Pelodiscus sinensis: one gene and its partners. The protein of the gene in region 4 purifies or fractionates together with the protein of the main gene of each other region. This does not show direct contact. Links are inferred from orthologs where the notes say so. Each region holds a gene or a part of one and is shown on either strand. Other genes may lie near its edges. The genes, in order: TRPS1, FOXP1, AMPD2 and CTBP1.

Region 1 (7,849 bases), on a different chromosome or scaffold from region 4:
TCTTATTTGGATTAATTATATTATTAACAACCTTTCACTCAGTAGTTAAAAAAAATCTTTCAAAGTGTTGATATCATTTCCAGACTGTCTTGTCAGCATCACAATTTACAGGAAATAGTTGATGTTCTCAAACAAGCTCTGTATTTACTCATAGAGCTACAGTACGTTATAAAAATCCTCACTCTTTTGGAGTTTGTTTGTTGTTTTGTTTTTTTAAATGTCACTTTGGTGGAATATCTGAGAAAGCTCTCTAACCCAATGTACATACTTATGAACATGACGAAAACACTGACTACAACTCAGAAAGATTACTGTAACTTTTATTCACATTTTGTCCACGTCAGGAACTGGCTCTTACCACTAACTTTCCTTCACTGCCCCTTGTATTTTTAACTCTGGCAGTCTCTTCTAAATGATCAACTTTTCCTAAAATCAACAGCAAAGTAACATGATGCCACCAAGACTCATAGGTTTTAGCGCAGCTGAAGAAGACAGCTAAAATGGCAAAGGACTTCATACTTTTACTAAACCCGATGAAATAACAACCAGGTTGTTACTAACAAGTAGTATCTACAATGTGTGTGGGGTACAAACTACAAAAATTGCTTACAGTCCATGCCCCAAAGAGCTTACAGTCTTTATATTTAAAAAGTATTTTCCTCCCACACTTGCTCTGCTTTTTCCTCCCTTGCATTTATTATTTAATTCTTCTACCAGATAGTAAATTTGCACTTGTGAAGGGAGAAGAGGATGGAATTAAGAGATGACTTCACTTTCATAATTCATTCCCACTTTTTGCACTGCACCATGCCTTCCATACACTTCAGAGATTTGACATTTATGGATGGAGAATGTCTAATTCCTTTTAAGTTAATGGGCCACTCTATTCCTTCAAAAATAGCTTACGAGAGTCCTGGAACATTAAAATTCATTTTTTCATTTGTAATAAAGACAAATAGCTAAAACATATCAAAATGTCAAATCAAGGAGCTACTTAATGAGCGGCTCAAGTCCCAAAACAAATCTACTCTGAAAAATAGCTCGCAGTGCTGCTGGAGTCCCACAAGTTTGTGGGTCTTTCTGGAGAGTCAGTTTTGATTGCCAGACCTTTCCCTGGATCCACTTCCCATACCCAGTGATCACAGTCAGGAATCAGGCAAAGAATTGCACAGAGAGACAGAAAGAGAGAGAGAGAGAGAAAGGTTGTTTGCACAGCCCACCAAACGCTATTAGGCCACCTTTCCTCACCCTGGAGCTTTTAACGAAGCCACAAATTCCACACACACACACACACACACACAAACACTCATCAATACCACCATCACCACTACCACCACACATTCCGCCCCAGAACTATCAGGAAGTCTCCCTATATCCCCAGAACTTTCAACAACAACAAAATGTCACACAGATCCCAAATGGAGAAAGCAGGGTTTTAAAAAAAGTGAGACACTAGACAAAGTTCTAGCAACCCTGGCAGTGCAGAGCGTGGGGACTCAACTCTGAAAGTACAACTTTGCCTTTAAGAGGAAAAAGTTTTACGTCTCTCTCTGTACTCTCTGATTTCCTTTAAAATGCACACACACACACACAGACACACACACACACACACAAACACACACACACCAGCATGTCGCCTATTCCCCTGGTGTGACCGGGTGCGCAGCCCCCTCGACACATGCACACCCGTAACCTCCCCTGGTGGATCCCCAAGACAAATACAAAAAGTTTGCCCCAAACTTACTACTCTTCATGATGGTCTCTCTGTGCCCCGCTTGTCATGATTCCCATTAAAACTTCCAGCAGCAGCAAGCAGCAGCAGCAGCCAGCACAGTGCGACTGCGGCGCATCGGATGCAAAATCTCTTTGCTCTTCTTCTACTTCCAGCCCCCCTCCCCCCCCGATGGTGGGGAATGAACAATCAGAGCGATAAGAAGTAGCTAGACAGAGGGGAGGTGGCGAAGGGAGATACCAGCCCGGGAACTGCTCCCCACCCCTTCTATGGGTAAATAGAAGGCGAGAGTCTTAAACCAGAGATGGGGGTTGTTTGCCCTGCTCGCTTCGCTGGCTGAACTTGACCCTCCTCCTAAGTCCAGAGGGGCTACTGCAGTTTTGAAGTCGCCAGTTTCCAGCGATCACACATGGCTTTGACCCACCAAAAGAGGGAGGAAAAAAAATGCACCCAAACCCCCCACCAGCAGCAGCCTGTGAAATCCGAGAAGCCCTCGTTTCCCTCTGATTTTTACCCCCCCCCCCTGGATGTGTGTGTGCGCGCAAAGAAACTCACTTTTAAATCCCCCCGCCCCCCCCCGCCTTCCCATTTCACACACACAAGCACTTAGCATACAGAACAACACACTTACTACATACGCAATATCAACAGACGGAGCAGGAAGGAGCCCCCCCCCCCCAACGCCATACACTTTTTTGGCTGATCCCCCCCCCCCCATTCCCCGATCTCTTCTTCCCACCCACCCTCCGAGCCCTCCCTCCCCCCTTACCTGTTGATTAATCGACAATAATAATCTCAGCAGCCTGAAAGATGGTGGAGCTGTGGTTTGAGCCATGAACCGTCTTCTGTTGTTTGCAGAGTTGATCTTGGATTATTTGGGGGGAGAATGGGGGGGGAAAGAAAGAGAGAGGGGGGGGAAGGTTCTCCTGCCTTTCCCCCTCTCCCCCTTACCTCCCCCCCCTTTATAGGGAGAGAGAGAGAGAGAGAGAAAGGGAAAGAGAGCAGGGACCTGGATGTGCCTGGTGTGTTTATAAAAAAGGAGAGAGAGAGAGAGAGAAGAGGAGGAGAGCCTGGATCTAGTGAAACAACAAGCCCCCAAAGGAGGCGGCTTTAGATTGCAGAGAGATCAGCTCTTTATCAGAAATGTTATCGCTTGTCAGGACCTCAGTCTCCGAGCATTACGTCAGTTTCAAGACACCAACACTATTAATATCAAAGGAGCCTTAGCAGAGAAAAGCGCCACCCCAGACTGAGAGCCCTTAAAGAGACAGTACAGGAGTCCCCACAGAGCTGCTGTGTTCAGCCTCCTCCTCCTCCGGCCAGGCAGCAGCAACCACTGGGGAATAGGCTGCTTTGGAATAGACCAAGTCATTCACAACTTTTTTTTTTAAGTAAATGACATTAACGTTTATGCAGGATGCTCTGGCGTAGGGGAGCATCCCTGAGGAATGGACCTTGCCGGACTGATCATTACATCCTTGGGAAAGTGTGAGAGGGGAAGAGACTCTGATTGTGCTGATTTTCAATAGCTATTATTGATTAATAATTGTTTGTTAAATGCTGCTGGTCTTTGCTCAGCTTTTCTAAAATTGCACACGATTTTTGCCTGGATGTGCTATTGGAAAGGCGACTGCAGCTACCTTTTCCTTGTATTTTGATCCAGGACAAAAGGGACAGAAAAACAACTGGAACTTTTTCCAAGTTCGGGAATGGGGGGCAATAGTAGGAAGCAGGATAGTGCAATGCCCTGGTCTGCTCATTTAGTGGGTTCAGTTTCCAACAACAGCCTTAATTAATATTATTATTTTCTTTGTGAAGAACTGACAATACCACCCTGTCCAAGGCACAAAATACATAGTCAATGCCCCCCCCCCCCAGGATCTTACAATCTAAATAACACAAACACAAAGTAGACAGGATTTGCGAGAAGTCTAGACTCATTTATTATTGTTACAGTATCATTATTTCTCAGTTTTCAAATTAATACAATTTATTGTTAGTTCTCTGTTCTACCACAGGATAATCCCAATCCTCTTTTCAGAAATTTCTTTATACTTTTCTGTGTCTATACAGAATCTTTTTTAAAGATCAGATTTTTCCTCTACCATGAATTGCCAGAACTCTACATATAAATGTTTAAAAAAAAAGTTTAAGGAAAAGCAATGTATATAGCTCCTGGGAAAGGATTTTAATCCCCAAGTAGAGTAAGTGTTAAAAACTATATAAATATTTCTTGGGCATTTGGACACAATTTTCTGAGCTAGGTGACTTTATATGGCATTTTTTCCTTCTATGTCAGTCATCTTGAAATTTCATATTGAAATAGACATATTCTGGACTTTTGCATTGAACAGTAAATATAATCCAAGTGAGAAGCTGAAAAAGAGAGTTATATCATTAAAATATTAGTTATGGATTAAATTATTTCCTACCAAATGTGTTTCACATGGCATAATGTTTGCCTTACAATTTTATTTTCAGGAAAAACTTAAATATGAAACAAAAAGAATTTCAAAGACATGAACCGAGTTAAAGTAAAGGTCCTACTGCAAAATATATGGCATTTTCATCCACTTTTTAAACTTATACATTCATTTATGTTTATTATAATATTCTGGCAGATTTGTAAAGTAATTGCTCATGTAAATCACAAAGTAACACATTTCTCACTTTAGTTCTTTTCTAGGAATCTCTGATAAAGCACTTTATGAATAGAAAAATAATCATTCATGCACAAGAGGTGAGTTGACAGGCAGAAAAGGGTAAGTAAAATATAGTTCCACAAAAAAGCACCCTATGTCTCACAGGAAATAGGAGAAGGGAACTAACATATTATATGTGGGACTTACCATATCCCCATCAGCAGAAATTAATTTTGAACAGTTATGATATTTTATATGAAATGCAAAGAACAGTAATTCCAAAATCTTCAGTAAAATTTAAAGTCTGTTCCTAATGACTCCCTATATAATTTAATGCCAGAGCAATTTACTGTAGAGCATCACTAATGCATACACAGTAAAAGTGCTTTCTGAGATGGCAGATTTTCACCTTTTTTTCTAAGCTGCAAATGTAATAACTGAACTTTAATCAAATAGGCAAGATATAGAATCATTTTCACAAACTTTTACTTATTATGAGCTACACTGAGAAATAATCCATTCAGTCAAATCCAGATTTGTTCCCAGGTCTAAATAATTTAGATTTTTAACTACATTGATTAGTCTTTCTGACCTGGCCTATTAGTCCAGTATATAAAAGGTTAAAACAAGCCAGTACTTGGCTGATAATTTGGCTAAACATCCTATAAGCTAGGTTTGAATGGAAAATATTTAAACAGGGGTTATTTCCCTTTTGCTTTTCTGTTATATTGAAATTTATTTAATTAATATCTTCTATTTTTGAAAGAGAAATAATAAGACACGCACATCTTTAATTCTATCCCTTCTCAGACGATATGTGAATGCAACTTTCTCTGACCTTAAACTACAAGATATAAAACATTAAAAAGTTTGTTAAGAATGAAAGAATGAAAGCTCCAACCAATGCAAACTTTTAAGATTATATACACAGCTTTTTCACCTTAAGAAAATGTGACTAGAAGAATAAGGATGTTTATTTTTAAATCACATGAAAAGTTACAGAATGGCATTTAAGGATGTGCTGATTTTTAGAACGAAATAGTAAAAGCATAGGTCATAAACTGCTAGAATAACAAAATATTTTTTCATTAATTAAAATGGGAAGTGTTAGTGAAACACTGTATTGCAGAGAAAAGTGCTACAGTACCTTGTATAATAATGCTTGCTTGATACGTTCTGCATTTCAAATTAAAATAAAGCAGATCGAGAAGATGTCAATATCAATCTGTTTATATTAACCAAGATCTATGGAGAACTTAATAAAAGCAAAAATATTTTCATAAACTTTTGGAGGCAAATTATTCATTTATGAAATAATTTACAAAGAAAAATTTTACCTCATGCTTTAGATACGTCGCATATGCTCATGATTGACACAATATGTTTGGGCTCAAAGGCCTGTATACCATTTTTTTTATCCTAGGAGGAATATTTCAAAACAACAAACTAATTCATGAGGTCATACAGTAATTGCTTAACAGTTGTTTTCAATATAGAAAATAAGTTATGTATATTGTTTTCCTTTAAATATTTGTTGATTTGTTGTTATAATCCTTCGACATTGACATTGCACAAATTCCATTCAAAGAAATATTGACGATGTATTTTCATGTATCATCTTCTAATGTCAAGCATATGCAAAACCACTTCAAGCAACTTTTATTTCGTGTTACTTGAAATCTACATTCTATGTGACAGCAGGTAGTTGTTTAAATAAGAAGTCTAGCTTTCTGTGACATACAAGAAAAGAAGCAGAAATGAAGGAATAACAGCTACGCAAGAAAATTTAGAGAACACGCTGTTATCACATAAGAGGCATGAACAAAGTAATTTCCAAATAATCCTCCATTTTTTACACTCAAGCACATTCTCCACTGAGAGAGAATAGAAAGGCCAGCCACAGTAGCTTCTTGAAGGAAAATGGTATAAAAGTCATTATTTATGAAGAAGACATAACATGCCATTTTTTTCCTTTAATAAATTCAATGTGGTTTTTCTTTGCTTGTAGTTTGTGTAGCTGCAAAGAGAGATTTCCAGTTAAGCACAAGGCATACTGGTTTTACAATTTCAGCCTTTTAGTGCATAACTTACTTGCTTAAAATACTAGAGCCTATAATCACAATGATTCTACCTGATGGAACATGCAATTTAGAAATATAATCCAACTGTTTACCCTAACACGTCATAAATTGCAATTCTTTACAAAAACCTCAGAGATTGACTTTGCTCTTAAATGCCTGCTGCTTTAGCACACATCATCAAGAAGGTATTTCTGTATTATTCTCCCACCAGTTAGTAGTATATCACATGAATTCTAAAGACCATTCACTTTTACTGTCTTCAATAATGAACATTTTGAGAAGCATTAACTTAGGAGTCTGGGCAATTTCAGTGAGAGTTTCTTGGGAATATAAACACCGGGACCTACAGAATTTCTGCAGACCTACTTCATTTCTTTGCAAAACTTTTGTCACATGGAATCCTATCATCTTAACAGGGAAGTTTTTTATTTTTTGTATTTTTTTTATGTAGGTAAAGAGTCAACTTTCTAAATTTCCAATGGTACACTAACACAAAGACAAAATTACCACTGATTTCAAAAGGAACAGGCTTGAGGACCACAAATTATATGGTAAATGCTTCTGAAAAGAGTTTTTGCACAATGATAGATGAGATAACACCATGGACAGCCAATGAAATATCCTGCAACAGAAGGGTGAGAATAAAATGGCATGATCCCAGTTTTAACAAATGTTTTCTAAAGGGACTGGATATCTGGAAATGGAGACTTTCATTTGTATGTCACTATTTTAATACAGGCCAACTCAGTACTGATGAAATATTAACATCTGGTGGATGTTTGGTAGCCTAATCCATTATGTAGTATAAAAATGTCCATGTTGGTACACCACCACCACAACTGGCAAGTCAGAACCTGAATGCTTCCCTTTTGTCAGGAGACACAATGGAGATACTGTGGAGTATAAGGCAGGTGGTTCCTCCAAATTCAAGATGAGGGACAATATGGAATACTGCTGCTATATAGGAAGAGAGAGAAAGAGAGATAACTTTAGGACTATCTATCTGTCTACCTATCACTATTGTGAAATGTACTGGAAATTAAAAACAAGAAACCCCAAACTGCTCAAAATCACTTACATACAATAATACTCACTATTATATAGATTTTGATTTTAAAAACTCCACAGCAAAAGGGTGCTCATCTGAAGCTCCATGAGCCCTTTGACCCATATATAATAATAGACAAGCAAATGTCAGTTAAAAAGAGCAGCAGCATGTTTCCCTCCCATAACTCAGCCATACACTCAACTTTGGTTAGAAGCCCAAAACAAGTGAAGCCCCTTTTCTGCAATCATTTCTCACCAGACAGAAACCCTACCCACAAATGCCTAAATCCCTACTCCTAGTACCTATTGCTGCACAGCCAAATGATTAAAATAGGATTGGCACACAA
Region 2 (7,045 bases), on a different chromosome or scaffold from region 4:
GAGAACTTGAAACCAAAAGTCCAAGTTTCCCCTCCTTCCCTTGATCTCAATATGGTTTCAAAGATGCATAGTACACTCCCTTCTGAGATCTACTTTGTTCTTGTAGAACTCAAAATATTTGAAAATCTCTCAGGCTTAACATTGCAGAAAAAAACCAACAACAGAATTTCACTTCTCAATCATATAAATTGCAAAATACCATTAAGTATTTCAAACATCTATTTCTGCCTCCAACAAAATTAACCCAAAGATAACTACTACCTTAAGGAGCCTGAGTAGGACTTGTCTTTAAAAGTCATACTTAAAGTCACTATCTGCCTAGTTAAGAGAATTAAATTAATTATACTGACATTCTGAAAGTTAGATAACCAAAACAAATGTATAAAAACAGAAAAAAATTAATTTAAAGCAAAATTTTTTTAAAAAAAATATGTATAATTATTCAGTACCACAGGATTCAGAATTGTATCCTATACAGACACACGCTGTGCAAATATTGTACACATTACTCATTCACACAACAGTTACTAAAAGTGAAACCCTAAACTTTTGAGAGGCTAGGAGATTAAGCCAGAACTCTTTAAAGTGGAATTCAGAAGCATGTGTAGCTCTTAAATGAAATGCTTGGTAGGAGCATTATGTCTGAAGAGTTGACACTGACAGCCGCCGTTTTTTTTGTTTTTTTTTAAAAGGGCCATTTTAGGAGTTTTTTGGTTCACTACAAGCAAAATTTTAAGACCAATGGGTAGAATGAAGGCAGGCTAAAACCAACACACTTTGCAATCGGCAAAGCAATGGCATTTAAACACAATGAGTTGGAAATAATTAACAGTTGTAAAGTGGAGTGGGGGAGGGAAAGGACTCATTGTCACTATATTTTATAGCAGCACTTACACTGTTAGCCAAACTCTGATCCGAGGTTTCCTTATTTAAAAAAAAAAAAAAAAGATAACTCCGTGTTAATACATCTCGCCGCCTGTACTCCCCACCCCTTCTGTTTCACTGACCTGAAATAAACGCTTCAGCTTCTAGCTTCTCTAAGCTGGTCTGTGCCCTTTACGATAGATGTTCACCTGGTTTCTCTTTATTTGGGAGTTTACTGTTGGAGCGGGGAAGTTGTGTACACGTGTGTGTGTGTGGGGGGGGGGGGATCCTTTATACCCTTATATGTAAAAAGCCTCCGCTGATTTTCCTATACTTACCGGGAGACAGCAGGGAGAAAGGCTCTGAGAGTGAACGAACGCCAGTACACAGCTTCTCAGTAAAGTCTGCTGCTGCTCCGGCAGGCAAAACTTTGGGCTCTACGGTCGAGAAGAAACCAGGGGTTCTTTCAACAAGTCTCCGGAAGGCAGGTTTGGTAAAGGGGTCGGAGGGGGAAGGGGGAGAGTGTGCTGTGTTTAAGGGGAGGGAGAGGAAGAAGAGGAGCCCTGAAACACTTGCAAGCACCGGGATCAGGAAACAGATCTAAGGACTTGAGTAAGTAACAGGATCTAAAAATCTCCCCTCATCCCCAGGCATCTGAGATGCGCGCTTGCAGAGGGGCAGCAGGGGCGAGTGGCAAGGGTCGGGTTTGGAGTTGTAAATGTTTATTCAAACACTTCGTCCAAGGCGAGCGAGGCAGAGGCTAGCCAAGCAGCCGGCACCGAAGGCTGGGCACGATGCACCGGGCTGGGCGTGCGCGCATGTGACACGGGCGACTCCGGCGCAGACATCTGGGCTGACTGATCTAGAAGCGACAACAGGTGGTATGCGGGGGGGGGGGGGGCAGGACTTGCTCAATGACGTGTGGGGGAATCAAGGTCGTCCCCCCCCCCGCACTGGGGGGGAGGAGGGCGACAGGGAGAGGTGACAACCCGTGGCCGCAACTTCGCCGCGGGCTCTCCGCGCATTGCCTGCAACCGCACCGCGGGGGCGCCCCTGCAGCCAGAGCCCCCAGCCAGGAGGGCAACTCCCTGCAGCCGTCCCGGCTCCGGGGAAACAAGCCCAGCCGAGTCCCGGGGAAACTCAGCGTGGGCAGCGCCTCTCGGTGCGCGTGTGGCTGGAACTGAACGGAGCCTCCCCCGCGTCTGGCGGGCTCCCCCGGGGAGAGGGGGGGGGGGGGCGGCGCGCTCCTCCCCAGCCAGGGCGCAACTCCACGGGAGCGCACCACGGCGGGACAGCGGAGCGAGCGGGAGGCGAGCCCAGCCCCTGCCTGTGCGCAGGGGGGTGTGCGCCCGGGGCCTGTGCGTGAAGTTCACAGGAGGAAGGGACGCAGGGGGCAGAGATGGATAAAAAGTTTCCAAAGTGAGAACTGAAGGGGAGAGAGGCGGTTCCCCCCCCCCTCTCCGAGCGCCTGGGGAGCGGCACTTGCCCCGCCACCCGCGTCTCTGCCCGGCGAGGGCGCCCGCCAGACGAGCCCTCTCCAAGTCGCCGCGGCGCGGGGCTGCTCCGGCGGCAGTGGCCAGCCGCCAGCTGCAGGGACCAAGCCCAGAGGTGAAGGAGCCGCCGCCTCTCCCAGGGCATTCGCTCTGATTTATGCAAACAGCGTGGCGGCCAGCTCGCATCCCCCCGCCAGGCGGCAGGCAGAGGGGGGCACGTGGAGCTGGGAAGGGGGGGGGCAGAGAAGGAGTTGGAGGGGGGGGGAGGAAGAGAGGGAAAAGTGAAACAAACAAGAAGGAGCCTGGAAAGTGGAGGAGAAAAGCCAAAAAGCCAAACTCACCCGCTGGAGACGGCCGGTCGGTGCCTCCCCCCAGCGCGGGTGAGTCTGCCTGCCCGTCCCCTCCCTTCCCTCTAGCCGGGCAGCCCCATGCGCCGAGCCCGGGCAGTAGGCACAGCGTGCAACAGCCGCACAATCAATAACAATAGAGCCCTCCGCTCGGGACTAGCTTCCAGGGGAGCCTGCACGCAGCCCAGCAGGGCCGGCGGGTTCCCCCCCTTGCTCCCAGCCCCCGCCGCTCCCGGCTCGGCTCCAGGCGCCTTTGCGCGGCCGCTCCGGAGTTTGGCGAGCGGGAGGAAGGAGGAGAGGCAAAGCTGGAGGGGAACGGCGGGAGGGGGGGGGGGGAGAGAAAAATAACACCCCCGCGGAGGGAGATGTTGTTATTTTTTGCTGTTGTGAGTCTCTGACGTCACATCCACCTGCTGGGTAAACAACAAGGCTCGGTGCAAAGCGCACACACACAAAAAGCAACACACGCGCGCGCGGAGCTCGCAGTTGCAAGAGAGGGAGAGGAGCCGGGGGCAGCGCAGCCGCGGGGGAGAGGATGGGGTGGGCTGCAGGGCTCGGCGAAGGGGGGGAGCCGGGGAAACACCCCCCCCCCCCGCGGGAAGGGGGGGTTGGGAGCGGGGTGCGAAAGCTGCGCGGTGGGGCAGGGGCTGGGTGGGGAGCTCGGCGAGCAGCAGCCCGCACGGGCGAGCGTTCGGCCGCGCCGTAGCCATCGGCTCTGGCCTCCCCTCGCGGCTCCTCGGCACTTGCAACCATGAAAGGCGGCGAGTTCGGGAGGTGAAAGTTCAGCCGAAGGACAAACCCCCGTGTGCGAGGAGCCGGGCTCGGCTTACAAAGGGCACGGAGCGGGGTTAGAACACGCGCGCCGGCGGCACCAGGGAGGTTCCTGCCAGCGAGGAGAAAGTGCCTTAAAAATCGCGAGTCGCTTGTTGCCCCCCTCCCCCTCCCTTTCTAGGAACAGGCTCAGCGCCTAGGACGGCGAGTTGTTCCACACAAGTTACCTGCGAGTACTGCAGAGATTCCGGCCAGGAGGAAAGGGTTGGGGGGAGTTTTACATCCAGGGTTCAGAAACAGGGATGAGATTTGTTAGCGGGTTGCAACCAGGCTTGAAGTTAAATCGCCTGAAAGAAATCCAATAAAGGAGGCCGGGGATGCTTAATAAATGCCGCATTATTTCTAAACTCTTAGCACTAAATTAACTCCCCTCCTTAAAAAAGAAAGATACAAAAGGGGGGGGGGAATAGGAGGGGAACCACTGAAGATTCATATTGCTACAGCCATAGCAGTAGTGGCTAGTTACTAGCATGTGGGCATTTCTTTCATTCATGCAGTTTGGAACAGTCTTGCTGCTCACAAACCTTTTTGCCTTTTAAAAACACTCTTGTTTAATATTCACCCATAACATGGTCCAGGCCTTTCTTTAAATGAATCAAATTTATAGTAACTGAAAAATGATTTTTGCACAACCAATTTATAATTCAGGACCTTTTAGGAGGCTCCCAGCACTTTGCAAAAAAAATGCTTCCCCAAATCCCTGTAAAGTAGGGAACAATTGTTTTATAGATCCATGTATATATGAGGCACTGAGAGGTTACATTAGCAGCCTAAAATCATGCAATGAGTCGGTAATAAAGCTGGAAATAGAATCCAGAATTCCTTGCCACCCAGTCCTGTGGTCTAAGCCCTCTCTTGCTATTGTGCTTCATATAAAGAATTACTTGCACTTGTCTATTAATAAATAATACATCTAAAATAACCAATGAATATTTTGTCCTGTTTGTACCAGTGCCAGGCAGAGGAAAAGACCAAATGCTAACTCAGAGTGTTGCATGAGATGCCCATACTTGCATGACTTGAGAGCTTACAGGATCTTGTCTCAGGAGCAAGAGTCAACGCCTGCAATCCACATTTAGAACAAAATTCCAATTGATCTTGATAGGAGTTTTGACTGAGGAAGGACTGAAAAATTGGATCCTCTGTCTCTATCTAACAGATAATAACTCATCGCTGCAACAGCTTCCTGGTAAAAATTTACTGCGTTTAAAAAAAAAAAAAAGAGCTGAAATATTGTCTTATTGTTCCAAGCATTAGATAAAGCACTACTAATATCTAATAGTGTTATGCCCAAGGACCATTGCACTTACGTGGTATGTTAGATCATCCACTGCTTCATGAACCACACTGGCATAAATGATGAGAGTTAAAACATAGATATAGCTGTAATTTAGAGAGAATAAACATGGCAAAGTGGCATTTCCTTGGTGGAGATTAGTTGGACTTTTAGAACCACTGACTGTTGTCCAGTTCAGTGACAGTTACTCCTATACAACTGTTATTCTGGGTCAGACACATATAATACTGCAAAGAGCACAAAAAACATCAACAAACTCCACGCATGAAATGCTGGTCCCATTGAAATCAATTGCACTTCTTCCAGTGATTTCAACAGGGCCAGAATTTCGCCCCTGGTCACAGAGGGAGGAAGTGACAGGCCCACGCGTTGGCTGGTGTTAGCCATCCCACTAGTTAAAATTATAAATATAAAATGTTTCCTGCTAACCTATACACACACAACCTCCTTTATACTCATTCTGTGTGAACAATGCCTACTGGTTTCTGATGTTCAAGAGGGCTGCATATAGAATGTCCGGCAGAGATCGACTGTGTAGATTGAAGATGAATATTTTACCTTTCCATTCTAAAACAATCAACTTGGTCCATGAGCATATCTACAGTAAGTGATGTGTTGAAGTATCACCTCCCCCCCCCCCCCCACCCCTTGAGAAATAAAGATAATGGCCAGATTTATAAAAGAAGGTGCTTAAAATTAGGCTCCTAAACTTACATTTAGGTATCTAAAACAGTGGCCTGATTTTCAGAGATGCCAAGGACCCGGAAACATCCTGTGTGATAGTGTGACAGCATTTCTGCAGCATTCTGTGAAGAACAATTTAGATGGCAATTTGATTATAGGATTATTGAGCAACCTACTTGGTTAGCAGAAACTATTTTCTTTCAACTAAGTGGGAATTGTTAATAATCTCATTTTTACCATTCCTTTGCTTTTTAGTAATTGCATTCACCTCATTTTGGGCTTTCAGCAGGTTCGAAATAAGAGATTCAAGAGGGGGAGCTTATTTTAAATGTTCTTCTATATGATTTTGTATATTTCAGTGTCTAGTCAGCTGAAGTGGTGAAGAACTGCATGTCCATTTACTATATGTTAGTGGGGAACTTAACTGCTTCTTAACATATTGTTCATTTTCAACACTGTCACGTTGCATTCATATAGAGCACATTTTAATTTCTTGATCAGTAATCAAGTGGAAGTTTCTTCTTGGCAAATTAAAGCAGGAAGATTTTCACACAAAAGAAAGGGTATGGTAGTAGGACGCCACCTTTTGGTAGAAAAAGTAAATAGAAGCATATTTCGAAAATGCTACTGATGTGCAATTACACTTTAAATTACACTAATGGCAAAGTACTTATGCCTAATTCATTATATTTTAAATAATTAAGAGGAAAATCATTGCAAATAAATATTTGCAGAGACAAAGATGGTTTAGCTGTACTTTAAGAGGAATCTTCAAAGACAGTAAGTACATAATTTCATTATGTCATTGTATTACTGAATAAACTCAATTATCAAAAAGCAACAACAAAATGCTAGGCTTCAGTCTACCCCACTCACCTGATGTACAGTAGAATATCTTAAAGATGTGTGCAATTGGAAAAAGGCCAGTTACATTTTTGTAATATCATTAAGGTATTTTTCATCTATTTTCTATTTTACTTCATTGTTTTGTGATAGGAAACTACAACAGGAGAAAATATATAGTGCAAATTTTGAGACCATAGCTTGCACATAAATAGCAGTTGTTTCCTCCCTTACTGAAATGCTTTAGACGTATTTATGTTTATACATTTAAACCCAGAATAAACTTTTGTTTATTGCAAACTTCTTGGCTCTTGTTTTTAACTATGCAAATGTAAATCAGTATATTAACGCTATAAAACATGATTAATTCCATAGACAATAAGAGCAGAGGGATTTCTCCCTCCCCCTCCACCAAGGCAAGCTGCTAATTGCACTTGAATTGTTTACTGCTGTATTGTTTTACAAGTGCCTAGAGAAAGAGACGCTTGATATCCCCACCACCATCGTCACAGTCCCAGGAGCAAATGCTTGGCGGATTTGGGTAAGGGTGTACACATGCTATGACTGCAGCTTGTTAGTAAAAAATAAAAAAAAATTATGGAGGTGATGACGCCTCTGTAATTATAGGTGTTACTGTTTTAAAGTCAGAATGTTTTCTAAGCTGCTATAGCGCCACGCCTCCAGCA
Region 3 (7,572 bases), on a different chromosome or scaffold from region 4:
GCTCTGCGGGCTCCCTGGGGCCGGAGCCGACACGCGGCTCCTGCAGCACAAAGGCGGATTGTTCGGTTCCTCTTTGTCTTTCCGCTTCGCGGGGGGGGGGGGCTAACACCCTGGCCCGGGAGGGGGAGGGGCAGTCTCGTCCCCCTGACTCCGCCGGGGCCTGACTGGGAGCCGGCCCGGGCCCGGGGGGGGGGGGGGGGGGGGTTTGCTGCCCGCGCGGCTGGCGGGACATGCCGGGGGGGGGGCGGGGTCTCCCCGCGGGCAGGGCGCTCCCCGCGCTGCTGCAGCTGGCTGGACAGGCGGGTCGCTCGGGGGCGCGGGGCCCCGGAACGGGCGTTCCCCGGCGCAGCCAGGCCCTGGTGCCGCGGAGCTGCGGGCGCTTCCCCCGGCCCGGGGTGACGCAACTGGCTGTTGTGCAACCTCCAGCCAGACCAGCATCTAGCCGGGCCCCGCGCTCCGCCTGGGAGAGGCAGCCGGGCGCTCTGGGGGACCCTGCAGTGTCTGGGGTCAATGGCTGCCTCTGCTGACGGGGTCCTCCTGTCTGTGCCCCCGGGGAAAGGTCCCAACGCCACTGCCCCCAGTGCTCGGGGCAGGCACTCCCCTGTGTCTGCTGGCCCCACTGGCCACTGCCCCCAGTGCTCGGGGCAGGCACTCCCCTGTGTCTGCTGGCCCCACTGGCCACTGCCCCCAGTGCTCGGGGCAGGCACTCCCCTGTGTCTGCTGGCCCCACTGGCCACTGCCCCCAGTGCTCCGGGGAAGGCACTCCCCTGTGTCTGCTGGCCCCACTGGCCACTGCCCCCAGTGCTCCGGGGCAGGCACTCCCCTGTGTCTGCTGGCCCCACTGGCCACTGCCCCCAGTGCTCGGGGCAGGCACTCCCCTGTGTCTGCTGGCCCCACTGGCCACTGCCCCCAGTGCTCCGGGGAAGGCACTCCCCTGTGTCTGCTGGCCCCACTGGCCACTGCCCCCAGTGCTCGGGGCAGGCACTCCCCTGTGTCTGCTGGCCCCACTGGCCACTGCCCCCAGTGCTCGGGGCAGGCACTCCCCTGTGTCTGCTGGCCCCACTGGCCACTGCCCCCAGTGCTCGGGGCAGGCACTCCCCTGTGTCTGCTGGCCCCACTGGCCACTGCCCCCAGTGCTCCGGGGAAGGCACTCCCCTGTGTCTGCTGGCCCCACTGGCCACTGCCCCCAGTGCTCGGGGCAGGCACTCCCCTGTGTCTGCTGGCCCCACTGGCCACTGCCCCCAGTGCTCCGGGGCAGGCACTCCCCTGTGTCTGCTGGCCCCACTGGCCACTGCCCCCAGTGCTCCGGGGCAGGCACTCCCCTGTGTCTGCTGGCCCCACTGGCCACTGCCCCCAGTGCTCGGGGCAGGCACTCCCCTGTGTCTGCTGGCCCCACTGGCCACTGCCCCCAGTGCTCCGGGGCAGGCACTCCCCTGTGTCTGCTGGCCCCACTGGCCACTGCCCCCAGTGCTCGGGGCAGGCACTCCCCTGTGTCTGCTGGCCCCACTGGCCACTGCCCCCAGTGCTCCGGGGCAGGCACTCCCCTGTGTTTGCTGGCCCCACTGGCCACTGCCCCCAGTGCTCGGGGAAGGCACTCCCCTGTGTCTGCTGGCCCCACTGGCCACTGCCCCCAGTGCTCCGGGGCAGGCACTCCCCTGTGTCTGCTGGCCCCACTGGCCACTGCCCCCAGTGCTCCGGGGCAGGCACTCCCCTGTGTCTGCTGGCCCCACTGGCCACTGCCCCCAGTGCTCGGGGCAGGCACTCCCCTGTGTCTGCTGGCCCCACTGGCCACTGCCCCCAGTGCTCGGGGCAGGCACTCCCCTGTGTCTGCTGGCCCCACTGGCCACTGCCCCCAGTGCTCCGGGGCAGGCACTCCCCTGTGTCTGCTGGCCCCACTGGCCACTGCCCCCAGTGCTCCGGGGCAGGCACTCCCCTGTGTCTGCTGGCCCCACTGGCCACTGCCCCCAGTGCTCCGGGGCAGGCACTCCCCTGTGTCTGCTGGCCCCACTGGCCACTGCCCCCAGTGCTCGGGGCAGGCACTCCCCTGTGTCTGCTGGCCTCACTGGCCACTGCCCCCAGTGCTCGGGTCTGCTGGCCCCACTGGCCACTGCCCCCAGTGCTCCGGGGCAGGCACTCCCCTGTGTCTGCTGGCCCCACTGGCCACTGCCCCCAGTGCTCGGGGCAGGCACTCCCCTGTGTCTGCTGGCCCCACTGGCCACTGCCCCCAGTGCTCCGGGGAAGGCACTCCCCTGTGTCTGCTGGCCCCACTGGCCACTGCCCCCAGTGCTCCGGGGCAGGCACTCCCCTGTGTCTGCTGGCCCCACTGGCCACTGCCCCCAGTGCTCGGGGCAGGCACTCCCCTGTGTCTGCTGGCCTCACTGGCCACTGCCCCCAGTGCTCGGGTCTGCTGGCCCCACTGGCCACTGCCCCCAGTGCTCCGGGGCAGGCACTCCCCTGTGTCTGCTGGCCCCACTGGCCACTGCCCCCAGTGCTCCGGGGAAGGCACTCCCCTGTGTCTGCTGGCCCCACTGGCCACTGCCCCCAGTGCTCCGGGGAAGGCACTCCCCTGTGTCTGCTGGCCCCACTGGCCACTGCCCCCAGTGCTCCGGGGCAGGCACTCCCCTGTGTCTGCTGGCCCCACTGGCCACTGCCCCCAGTGCTCGGGGCAGGCACTCCCCTGTGTCTGCTGGCCCCACTGGCCACTGCCCCCAGTGCTCCGGGGCAGGCACTCCCCTGTGTCTGCTGGCCCCACTGGCCACTGCCCCCAGTGCTCCGGGGCAGGCACTCCCCTGTGTCTGCTGGCCCCACTGGCCACTGCCCCCAGTGCTCGGGGCAGGCACTCCCCTGTGTCTGCTGGCCTCACTGGCCACTGCCCCCAGTGCTCGGGTCTGCTGGCCCCACTGGCCACTGCCCCCAGTGCTCCGGGGCAGGCACTCCCCTGTGTCTGCTGGCCCCACTGGCCACTGCCCCCAGTGCTCCGGGGAAGGCACTCCCCTGTGTCTGCTGGCCCCACTGGCCACTGCCCCCAGTGCTCCGGGGAAGGCACTCCCCTGTGTCTGCTGGCCCCACTGGCCACTGCCCCCAGTGCTCGGGGCAGGCACTCCCCTGTGTCTGCGCTTACCCCCAGGGAGGGCTGCTCGCCAGAGCTGGAGCTAACGATTCAAACACAAGGACTGGGACACAGGAGGCAAAGGGAGGTGCAGCCTAGAGCCCCCTGGCCCCCAGGAACAGGCCCTTTCTCACCCGCCTGGGCAGCGCTTGTTCAGCTCTGAACCCGAGGCCTGCCTTTCCTGAGACCCTCTGGGGCTCTTCTCTGCAGCACAGTTACCCCCCGCCCAGGGACATTTCTAGGGGACTGTTCGTCTCTGTAAAGTGTCAGGCTCCGCCACATCCAGACAGTAAACACAGGCTGGCTCCCGATGCCCTTTGTTCTCCCTCTTGACTAAGTCCATTTCACCAGGCCTGAGACCCAGGCCTGGCAGGTGCCATGGCTCCTAAAGTTCTCCCCTACACACATCCACCCCACAGTAGTCCAGAAACCAGCTACTGCTGAGACCATGGGGTGAAATAGCTAGAGGACGGTCAGCCCCGGAGATGATACGCCCTGCCCGGCTGCGTGCCGCACACACCCACAGACAGTCTTTGCCCCAAAGAGCCAACAATTTAAGTAAATATGACAAGCAAAGGGGGAGGGGAAACCGAGGCACAGACTGGTGAAGTCAGCAATAGAACCCACCTCTCCTGAGTCCTAGCCCCATGTGCTCTCCACCAGCCAGTGTTGCTTATTCTAGTGTCTTACTAGCGGGGAGGGCCTGTCCCTGCTGCCTGTTCCTGTTCCACCAGGGAGCCCCTTTTCTGGCTCTTGTGCTAGCAGAAGCCTGGGATGGGGCTGGCAGCCTCTGAAAATAGCAGTGGAGGGAAAGGAGGCTGAAAAGCCTGTACTGTACATCTTTGCCTGTCCTGCCGATCAGGATGGGAGTGTGGCTCAGTGGTTAGTGCAGGCAGGAGGTGCAATTCCGGCTGTGATGCTGATGTACTGCTTGGTGTGACATCTCTGTGTGCCCCAGTGATAGGGGCCTATGGGGCGGGTTGGAAAGCACCATGGCCGCCCAGGAAAGATGCTGTGCAGGGTGGTGCTGGGTCTTGTGGGCAGAGCCCCGGGAGGGGGGCCTGGATTGCTCCTCTGCAGAGGTGAGCAGGTGGGTCTGCCTGTGGCCTGGCACGGATCCATCCCTGAGGCATGGGGGGGGGGATCTGCCTGCCACATCTGGCCAGGCGCCCTCATCTGCCACAGCTCTCCAGGGAGGGGAGTTCTTTCTCTGGCCCCTAGCAGAGCCCCCAGACTGGCTCCATGGCCCGCTGGGCTCGCTGCTCTGGGAACAGCTGGGACCAGGCCCGGCTGGGGGGAGGGGGGAGGACGGACCAAGTTTTGCGCAGGGGGTGCTGCTGCTGGAACCCGCAAACCACGCCCCTGGGGTCTGTTCCAGCCGGCGCCCTGGGCCCCTGCCCTGCCCCTCGGCTGGGCTCGCCCGAGCTCGGGCCCCGGGCCTGGCGCCGCGCCAGGCGGAGCCGGGGACTTCGATCCGGCGCCGCGCTCGCTGCATCAATCAGCGGCCGGGGGAGGGGCCGAGCAAGCTCTGGGCCGCTGCTGCAGGAAGAGCTCCCGGCTCCGCAGCTGCGACTCCCCGGCGGGCGCAATGTCGGCGGGCGCCGCGCCCCCCCGGGGCAAGCACCCCTTCCAGAAGCGGGGCAGCCTGCAGGCCCCCGCCGCCGCCGCAGGTGAGCGCCGGCCGGGCCCCCGCGCCCGTGCGTGGGCTGCCTTTGTTCCGCGCGGGGCCGGGGCTCTCCGCTCGCCCGCGGACCGGGGGGGTCACCGGCTCCCCTCCTGGCCCCCGGGGCGGCGCAGCTGCGGGGGATCCGGGGCATCTGGCGTGGGCGCCGCGTTGCGGGGACGGGGTGCGTGTAGCGCTAGTAAAGGCAAGGGATGGATAGGGCTGGGGGGAGGGAAAGGAAAGCCCCCCCCGTGCTTCCTTTGCGCGTGAGTGTGGGGGCGTGAACTCTGCAGGCGCGTGTGTGCTGCGGATGTGGGGGGGGGGGGCAGTGACCTTAGTGGTTAGAGCAGGGGCTGCCCGGGTGTCATGGTTAGAACTGGGGGCCGGGCCTGGGTCCCTGCGTGGCTGGGGGCAAATGCTGGGGGTCGGGTTAGAGCTGCGGAATGGGGGGCTGGGTCCCCTGCATGTCTAGGTGCAGTGCAGGGTGTCGGGTTAGAGCGGGGGGGGCCGGGTTCCCACACAGGGTGTCGGGTTAGAGCGGGGGGGGCCGGGTTCCCACACAGGGTGTCGGGTTAGAGCAGGGGGTCGGGGGGGCCGGGTTCCCACGCAGGGTGTCGGGTTAGAGCGGGGGGTCAGGGGGGGCCGGGTTCCCGCACAGGGTGTCGGGTTAGAGCAGGGGGTCAGGGGGGGCCGGGTTCCCGCACAGGGTGTCGGGTTAGAGCGGGGGGCCGGGGGGGGGGCGGGTTCCCGCACAGGGTGTCGGGTTAGAGCGGGGGGGGGGCTGGGTTCTGTGTGTATCTGGCTTTGAGCTGCCCCCGCCGAGCGAGTGGCCACTTCCCCATTTGTGAGTTGGGAGTGATGCTCCTCACCTGCCTTTGGGAAATGCTTTGAGGTCCTGGGTGGAAGCTGCTGCCTCCTGCCCCTGTGAGCCCTAGTGGGTCGGGTGTGGGTGCAGGTGCGCGACTGTGGCGTGGATCTGTGGGCATGGGAGACATGGATCAAACCATGTTTTGGGGCCCTCTCCTAGGGCTGGAACATAGCACCCACCACCTTGGGGGGCATCCAGCTTTCTCCCACCACGTGTTCTAGAGCCCCCAGCCTGCAGAGACAGCCTGCTGCAGCTGTGGGCGCACCAGAGTCCTGCTTGTGGGGACCTAGGCAGCAGCCTTTAATGTGGGGCAGCTGGGGCACTAGTTGGGTGTCAGCTCTGCAGGCCAGGCGGTCCCAGGGCATGTTCTCTGGCTACAGGATCCCGTGTTCAAGTCAGTGGGACTGTGTTTTGTGGTGTGAGAATCATGCCCCTAAGCACAGGCCCTGGGGGCTGTGAATGTTGGAGGCAGGGGGGTGCTGTGCATGATGCACCCACACCTGATGAGCTGGGCTCACCTGCATGTGCCCCACAGTGAATGTCGTGCTAGGGCAGATGGAATCTCCCTTAATACTGGCCCAGGCCATAGTTCACTTTCCTGCATCAGTCTCGGGCACTGTGGGGTGTCAGAGGCAAGTGGGGAGGGAAAAGCTCATAATGCACCTAGCTAATCTGCGTGTGGGTGTTGTGTGGTGCGCTCATGGGGCTGTGTTGCAGGGACACATTATTCTTACTCCTTTATTTATCATCTGTTGCCATAGAGCCTAGAAGCCTGGCTGATGCTGATCAGCGTGCTGTGTGCTTGTGGAGTGTGCGGTGGTGTGGGACGCTCACCTCGTGTGTGCTGAGTTCCCAGGGGGCGGGAGGCCGTTGTGTGGTCTGGACACCTGGGCATAGGGGTGTGTGTAATTCTGCATGTGGATCAATACCTTGTTTTTCCTGCTGCAATTATAATTCCTGAAATGGGTAGCAGGAGGTGGAGCGGCTGCTAGGCGGGGGTGCAGGATTCCAGCAGAGGAAGTCACGGGGTTGCACCATCCCTCGAGGGCGTGAGGTGAGGAAGGGGGTGAAATCAGCATCTCTGTGATGCAGCTGGTTCCGGGCCTCAGCGCTGGTATCGACAGGGCGCTGCTGTGAGGGCGCCCCAGGGCAGACAGCTGAGGGGTGAGGTCCTGTGGGCGCTCCCAGGCCCCTGGGCTGCAGGAGGCATCCTCCAGACAGACAGCGGGGGATGGGCAGCGGAGGGTGTCTACATTGCACTGAGACACCTGGCCCGTGCCCGCTGGCTCAGGCGCGTGGGGCTGGAGACGGCCTCCAGGACCAGGTCTGCACCAGAGTTAAACAGCCCTCTCGCCAGAGCCCGAGTCAGCTGGCACTGGCCGGGAGGGGGTGCATCGTCAGAGGGGATTCCAGCCTGGCTGCGCCCCCCAGATCCCTCCCCTGCCACACTGCAGAGGCTGGCAAGCATGGCTCCCTGCCAGATTCCCTCCAGCTCCCCTCCCTTCACTGCTCCCGGCATGAGATCTGGGGAGGGGGGAGCAGCAGCAGGAAGGGCGGGGTGGTGGTGGTGGATGGGAGCTGCTCTGTTGCCTACGCCTCGCCCTAGGGCTCTGGCTGCCCTTGAAGGTGAACGGTGCCTTAGCAAACGCCTTTTACCGAGGGTTAACGCCGCTGGTTACTGACACGGCCCGGATTAGGATGGAATTCGTTGCCGCATTCCCGCACACGAACCCCGCTGGATGGTGACTATTCCAGGAACCGTTAATCAGCTGCTGCCAGCGCTCTACAAAGCACGGGCTCCCACGCGCACGTTAATGTCGCAGCTTCAAGGGGCCCACGGGAAGCCCCCACACGCAGGAGGCCTGGGGTGCCTGGGCCTTGGGAAAGCGTAGCACCTGTCCGGGTCTCTGCCACACTATGCATGTAGCAGGC
Region 4 (7,158 bases):
TAAGACAGGATTTCCCTTTACAGAAACCATGCTGACTTTTGTCCAACAAATTATGTTCTTCTATATGCTTCACAATTTTATTCTTTACTATTGTTTCGACTAATTTGCCCGGTACTGAAGTTAGACTTACCGGTCTGTAATTGCCAGGATCGCCTCTAGAGCCCTTTTTAAATATTGGTCCAAGATTTAATAGTGCATGTATATGAAGCATCCATGACTTTGCTGCCCTTCCTGGTTAAGGTTTGGCTGCATTATTTCTGTTAACCTTTAGAGAATTGGATTTAATGAAAAACACATTTTACAAGAAAAAGAGGGTAGTTTGCATAATTTTAAAACTTTCCAAATATTCTTCAGTAAAGACTATAAAATACATTACATTTTAAAATGTTACCTAATAAATAACAAATGTTTTAAACAGGACTTTGTACCTCTTTTAGACACCGCAGCTGATGATGAAACATCCATTACAGGTTGTAATTAAATTTACCATAGAGTCTAGGATTGGCCACAACCAATCAACAGGATTTTAAGTTATTTATTCTCTCTCCACTAAGTGCAAAGTCCTGTTGAAAATCACATTAGTTAAAATGTGTTAGCTAGTTAAACTTCTAATTTACAGTGCTTGTCTGTGCTCTCATTGAGATGTCATAAGGCATCATAAGTTCTAACAACAACTGTCTGACAAATATTCCTAAAATACATAATTAATATTAGGAAAACCAAATGTGTACACACACAAGCCCAAATCATTGTGATTTATTTATGTAGGGTTTATTTTTATATTCAATATTGAAAATAATGTATAGTTGCACTTTGGTGCCTCTAGTCCATGCTACCTCCCATCACCTCTCACCCTGCTTCTTCCCCCAGCCCCCTGTTTTTGAGGTTCCACTTATCCTACCCCTGCTACCCTGAGATTCTTTCCACAGACTCTCACCCGACTTTTTGCCTTGACCTGGTATTCTGACCCTACTGAAAACAGCTACCCTGGTTTGGAGCCTGCCCCTAGAGCTCCGCAACTGAATCAGTGGAAGGACAAAGGGGTTGGGGAAGTGGAAGACTACCTGTGGAGCCAGTGGGCACTGCTAAGAGAGGCTGCTTCTTTGCCTTAGTCTCCTGGACAGAGATAGGGGATTTAGTGGCCACCACATTTGAGAATCGCTGCCCTAAGGGCAACTGAGTCTGCATGAATGGACATTGATTGACTTTATTGAGGCTCCAGGCGGGTATAAGGCTTTCAGTGGGTCAAGCTGAAAGATCGGAGCCTCAGGTAGATAATTTGTGCACACATGCACATTTACGTAGCACTGTTGTGTTCCTATCTTCACATAGCTATGAAATGAATACACATTTTGTAAAGATTCTTTAAGCAAACTTTTATGCTAGACTACGTGAATCCTGTAACTAACTAACTAACACTAATGGAAAGGAAAAATTAGCAAAGGGTGGATATTTTGTTGTAAATTATTAGGCCATGTATGAAATAAAGTTATTTAATATTTGATATATATTTTGTATGTAGTTTATTTTCATGTGTATATATTTAATTATGTCCACTAATCTTTATTGCACCATACTTTTGGTATGTTATTTTATGCTTAATGGTGATCTTCTACAGTATGCAAAATGACAGTACTTCTCAAACATAAAGTAATCCTATGAATGTGTGCAAAGTGAGCCAACCTTTGTACTGTAGAACTATTGGTGGATGTTTGTCAGAAATTAGCAATCAAAGTTTGAGGTTTGCTCAGTGGAAACAGATGGCTGAGCTACCATCATGTCACAGAAAACAGCATGCATTCTTAGTTTAACACAAGAGGGAGCATGTCTAATCTTTAACCTTTAAATATTGCAACTTCAGAAAGACAGCTTTAATTGTTGAATGTCAACTAATTTACTTTCTAGGTGGCATGGTTAAATATTTATACAGCCTATATGTGCATTGTTAGTATATTTTCAAATTAAGATTGTCGCAACTAATAATTCATGCAAATAATGGCATTCATCCTGTGTGGACTTAAACTAAACTAATCACTCAAATATTTAGACTTATGTTAAAAAATAGAGTGGTCAGTAACATGCTGAAATTTAAAAAGTGATTATAAAGTGATTTATCACTATTATAAAGTGATTATAAACATCCATATATGTAAATGGGTCTTTGGTTTAATGACAACTTGAAAATAAAGATTATTTTTCTTTGGATGAACTCCCCTTCCAAAATTTTGGGTCCCTCATTTAATTTGAAGGGAGTTGTGATTAGTGCAAAACAAATCTGTACAATGGTTAGCTCTTAAGTATCATTGTGTAATTCTTACAAAAGCTAGGAAGTATACATTTGGGGTACATTAAGATGAGTATGTATGGCCATAACTTTTTTCTTTCTCCCTGTTCTCCAGCTGGATGCCATAGACTTTTTTTTTATTTTGAATTTGTATTTCCAGATGTTGTTGATCATCCTTTTCAAAGCGTTTATTAATGGGAATGAACAGTTTGTTGAAATTAATGACTGCCATCCAACTATTTAATCACTTTGGAAAGTATACATTTTAAATGTTAAATACTCTATATATTTCTTAGACTAAAACAAGCCTTACTTTTACTCTGTTGACAAGTAATTATATACTTTATTATATTTCATATGGGCATCCATTTGGCTTTATCTCATCTATATAGGAGGATGGGAGATCTAATTTCTTCTAGGGCGGGAATTGTTAATAAATCATAATGTTGACATGGACCATACTAGAGTGACTTGTTGCGTACAATCATTTGATAGTGAGAGGGTGTTTATATGGGACAGAGAAGAGGCAGGGTAGACTACTTGGATCTCAAATACTTCTTGGTGTATTTCAAACAATCGTGGTTTTGGGAAGTTGGGAGGAATAATATTTTAGAGAAACAACGACCTGCACTCCCTCTTGGACTGTTAACAGGGCGCGTTTGAATAGATTTGAATTCACTAACTGCATGTTGATAGGAGAATACAGCCCCAAGGAATGGACTGTGGTAGGCTTTGGCTACATATACATTTCTGTAATTCATCTTTTGATGAGAAGAGGGTTTTAAAATGAAAAGTAATGCTTCAAAATAAGGGACTGATAGCAAAATGACATATAACATGGTGATATTCTGAGTTTCTGCATTAGTGAGGTGAGGGGTGCATTAGCTTATATGCATTCCATCGAACTGAGGGATAACTGAATGTGCACTTTGATTTTTGTCTGACCTGGTTTTTTACTTTTACCTGTCAATCCATGTGTTTACACTTTACAAAGAATGTACTAGTATTTGAATAGAATTCACCGCTTGACAGTTATTCTTTGGTCATGCATATATATGATGAACAGCCCTAATAAAGATGTTTATTAAAAGCAAAAGGTATAAAGTTGAAATTGTCCTGGCTATGTAGTCATCTATATGAAATAAGTTGTCTATCATGGTCCAGTTTCCATGGGTCAGTTATCCAGGCCATGGAATCATCACCAGTGCAATAGTTGACTGGTCAAAGACTGAGTAAGAGTACAGACTGGCTTGCCTTATCACCGGTTAGAGCAGCATTGTAAAGTAGCCATTGCAGAACAAGCACCTTACCAAGATGTTGAGGACATTCACCGGTCAGAAAAATGGTTTGCTTCCAACAAGTGGTGGGAGGAGAATTTTACAAAGCTGCCTCAGATTAGATTGGACACATACTGGCAAGGACCACTGTCTGTGCTGCCCAATTCTTTAAATAGACAACTTAATATCTCTGGAACTAGCCAATAAATTCACTTAACAGTTATTTAAAAGTTACTGTGTATTCAGACAGTTTTCAGATATTAATATTTATTAATGTGTTTTTATAAAAAGTGAAGGACCAGACTCTCATTGTAGAGCAAAGGTCTGTGAAATTTTATTTTTAAAAAGGAATGTTTAATGTTTTATTTATATTGGAAAAGTGAAAATAAAGCTTCCAAAGCTGCTAAAATGGGTGTACTTTTGTGCCCCTAAAACTTTTGAATAGTCACTAAATGGATTTTTTTAAATATTAAAAAGAAATAATATCACCTGATTTAGCTAGGAGCAATTTTTGTTGGCTTGAATTATAACAGCCTCCTCTCCCCTCCCCCCGAAAATGGGGGTTTAGAATGGAAGTGCTGACACAACCTAAACTATAAAGCAGTGCCCTCCGTGCTGCTGTAATAATTGCCCGTACAGTGTTTTCTGCTTTCTTATTTCTGTGCTCTGTTTCTAATTCACTATTTTTTAAACTTTCTGAGAAGTTTGATATTATTTAAAGCACACGAAGTGCATGGAATAACCTGAGGAGTAAGAGTGTTCAGTAGTATGGACTTGTTAATCTCAGCCTGATCTTGTCAGTAACAGCAGAGCAGAGGGAGAGAGGAACTCCGGCTGGGGCAGCGCTCCAAAGGTTTGTCTGTTATTTTATTGCTAAATTACATCTCAGCACCAAACTATGAAGTATGCGGAGTGTCGTTTGTAATCTGTAGATTCCGCAGTTGCGAAAATGTGTGTGGTTAGCTGTATTGTTTGTTTGCAACGGGGAAGATTTGCCTGTGTGTGTATGGAAGAGAGCGAGTGTGTGTTACGATCTAGGAAACGCTGAAGAAGAAGAAACCCTGTTGGTTCTCCATGCAAATGACCGCTTTGGTTGTAACAAAAGCCTTGATGTTGGGCTTGGAAAAATGATCTGACAGTGTAACAACCCCAGGCCACTTTCGCCATGTTTTTGTTTATTCATGTTTCATTCCGTTTTCCGTAGCTATCTCACAGATGTTTCCAATTTCAGTTTTTTTTATACCGTCGATCCTCCTTTTTCGGAGTTAGCAGTAAAATGTGTGAAAGAATGTTAACAAAACAGAGAGGTGTTGCAGATGTTTATACTTTAGTTCTTGCCTTGCGCTTGATGGTAGTATTGGCAGAGGGATACAGTACATATGAAGGAACGTCACAGGCATCTGTTTTAACGACCGAGCTTGTAATTTCTAAACGTGCCTATTATAACTTGAATTTTACCATAAACAGATTAAGTGAACAGGTTCCTGGTACAATATGTCCAGTTAGTGTCCTGTTTGGTTGTTACTATTTCTGGAGAAAAAAATAAAAATAAGAGCGAGGAAAGGAATATATGTGACACAACATGTATGCTCCTAGATAAACTCCTGCCATCTCGGAGTGCCTTTAAATATTTGAACAGCTTCTGTTAAGTCAAATAAAATTGGTTACCATGAGAAACAAAAAAGTCCAATAGAACAGTTTTGACAGACTAATGAAAACGTCAAGGAATTGTTTTAGAAATATTCATGAAATGGTAGTAGTGGGAAAAATCTTTTAAACAAAATTAATAGTAACACATTTAAACCTTTAGCCACCAATGAACCTGGCAAATGCTCTATTCCCCTCCAGAAATAACCTGCAGAGATGAATGATGAATCTTAATGTCACATCTACTGATGTATTGAAATGTAGTTTGCCCATTAACCACATAAAACAATTTGCTTGTAAAATTGCATGCTCGTTGAACATATCAAGACATACACACATAAAATCTTAAATGACAAAATGATTCAATGTCCTGTTTAAATCAAATGTGGTAACTATGGTGAGATGTAAAGTTACTTAAATCCTCACTTGCTATGCATATGTGGATCTCATCATCTCTCTTCATAGACTGGAGATTAAAGAGAAAAGGATTACAGAATCTAGAAAAAATTTTAGCAGAAGACCTGTAGCCCTAGAGTGGGAATTAACATTGAAGAGGCTTTTAAGGAGGGGCAGGATTGAGGTAAACATTCTGTTGTAGTATATTGTCATAATAATTTTAGAAATGGATCTTTCTTGTTGGTTCTGAATGATCCCCAGCCAATTTTTGTAAGTGATTTCATTCACTTCTGAGAACAATCTTGTATATGTTTATTATAATAATAAAGAATTTTCCTGCTCCAACAAAATCAAAGCAAAAAACTTTGCATAGATTTTTTTTTTCTTCACCAAATAACAACATGGGAAAGCCTGCCATTCTATGCATTCTATTCATTTTTTTTAGTTATTCTCTAATAAATCATTTTTCTTCATAGTATGAAAAAAGCTTTACGCGGTTTTCCCATATTTAAACATGAATATGATGTTTGTATAAATATTTTTTTATTGTTTTCTAATATTTGACCATATCAAATGGAAAATGGCCTATGTAGAGAACATTTAAATAAAACCAGAAATGTAATATTCTGACCAATCTTTGTTGTGGGAAAACTGTAGCCTAATAGACTGACCATGTTTCTACTCCTGCTTCAGCTGAGAAGTTAAGATGCTATCTTACATTTTTTACAAAAGTGATTCAGTGGATGAGGCAGATCATTTCATAGGGTGATATGGACAAGAATTAATGCATAATTGTTTGGAGAAAAGTTGATGATCATTTAGACTCTTGAAGGAATGGGTCAGAGAGAGGCTACTGATTAGCTGTGTGGAATATGTAGAGAGAGAAAAGAAAGGAATAGGCCACACTTAATTTCCATTATGGATAAATGGTGTTACTGTAAAAGTCACAGTAAGGAGATGTTTAAGGGAAAGACCTTATGAATTACATTACACATTTCTTTTAATTGTTAATCTATTGTGATAAAGTTTGGAGAAAACACTACTACTATTACAAATAATACTTTTTAAAAAATATATGTACATTTTAATGTACTGGTGGAAGATAAGACTTGTTAAAGTACACAGTAGAACTGTAGTTCATCATAGTCCATCCTGGATTTTGTCAATAACAAACCTTATAAGCATCTTAAATGTTTTATTGTGGCTTTTTCTTCCTCTTCTATGTCAAGACATCTTCTTGCTCTTTCCCTTCCCAGCTCCTGGTATCTGTTATGAAACCTTTGATTAGAAACTTTGCATTATCTCAATGAAAGAGACTTCAGTGAAGACTCATGAAACTGAACTCCTTAGATTGGAAGGTTGTTTAGATCAATGCTCAGAGTTACTTTGCTGAACCTGTGTATTCCAATACAAAATTAAAATTTAACACCGTAATTGCCATTCCACAAAACCATTTAAGAAATACCATTTGTTGTGTTGTACTCTGTGTGTTTTTTATTTTTAGCGACCAGTTCTTTTCAGCTTATAAGGTGTAGGTGTGTATATGATTTTTGG

What was found.
Region 1: the proteins of CTBP1 (region 4) and TRPS1 purify together in Homo sapiens (affinity purification with mass spectrometry; 3 studies listed by BioGRID and IntAct, counting the BioPlex papers as one, with this or other methods). This does not show direct contact. The link is inferred for Pelodiscus sinensis from reciprocal best matches to the Homo sapiens genes CTBP1 and TRPS1.
Region 2: the proteins of CTBP1 (region 4) and FOXP1 purify together in Homo sapiens (affinity purification with western blotting; 3 studies listed by BioGRID and IntAct, with this or other methods). This does not show direct contact. The link is inferred for Pelodiscus sinensis from reciprocal best matches to the Homo sapiens genes CTBP1 and FOXP1.
Region 3: the proteins of CTBP1 (region 4) and AMPD2 purify together in Homo sapiens (affinity purification with mass spectrometry; 3 studies listed by BioGRID and IntAct, with this or other methods). This does not show direct contact. The link is inferred for Pelodiscus sinensis from reciprocal best matches to the Homo sapiens genes CTBP1 and AMPD2.

The regions. Positions count from the first base shown.
Region 1 is NC_134712.1:24,634,263-24,642,111, reverse strand, and holds the start of TRPS1 (zinc finger transcription factor Trps1), read right to left. Parts: upstream 3,006-7,849; 5' UTR 2,502-3,005; intron 2,228-2,501; exon of another isoform or gene 1,755-2,227; coding exon of another isoform or gene 1,745-1,754; intron 1-1,744. UniProt on the Homo sapiens protein: Transcriptional repressor. Binds specifically to GATA sequences and represses expression of GATA-regulated genes at selected sites and stages in vertebrate development. Regulates chondrocyte proliferation and differentiation.
Region 2 is NC_134721.1:10,182,301-10,189,345, forward strand, and holds the start of FOXP1 (forkhead box protein P1), read right to left. Parts: upstream 3,021-7,045; 5' UTR 2,699-3,020; intron 1,302-2,698; exon of another isoform or gene 1,203-1,301; intron 1,024-1,202; exon of another isoform or gene 1,008-1,023; intron 1-1,007. UniProt on the Homo sapiens protein: Transcriptional repressor. Can act with CTBP1 to synergistically repress transcription but CTPBP1 is not essential. Plays an important role in the specification and differentiation of lung epithelium.
Region 3 is NC_134737.1:15,280,208-15,287,779, reverse strand, and holds the start of AMPD2 (AMP deaminase 2), read left to right. Parts: upstream 1-4,563; 5' UTR 4,564-4,697; coding exon 4,698-4,779; intron 4,780-7,572. UniProt on the Homo sapiens protein: AMP deaminase plays a critical role in energy metabolism. Catalyzes the deamination of AMP to IMP and plays an important role in the purine nucleotide cycle.
Region 4 is NC_134715.1:120,934,026-120,941,183, forward strand, and holds the start of CTBP1 (C-terminal-binding protein 1), read left to right. Parts: upstream 1-4,138; 5' UTR 4,139-4,414; intron 4,415-7,158. UniProt on the Homo sapiens protein: Corepressor targeting diverse transcription regulators such as GLIS2 or BCL6. Has dehydrogenase activity. Involved in controlling the equilibrium between tubular and stacked structures in the Golgi complex.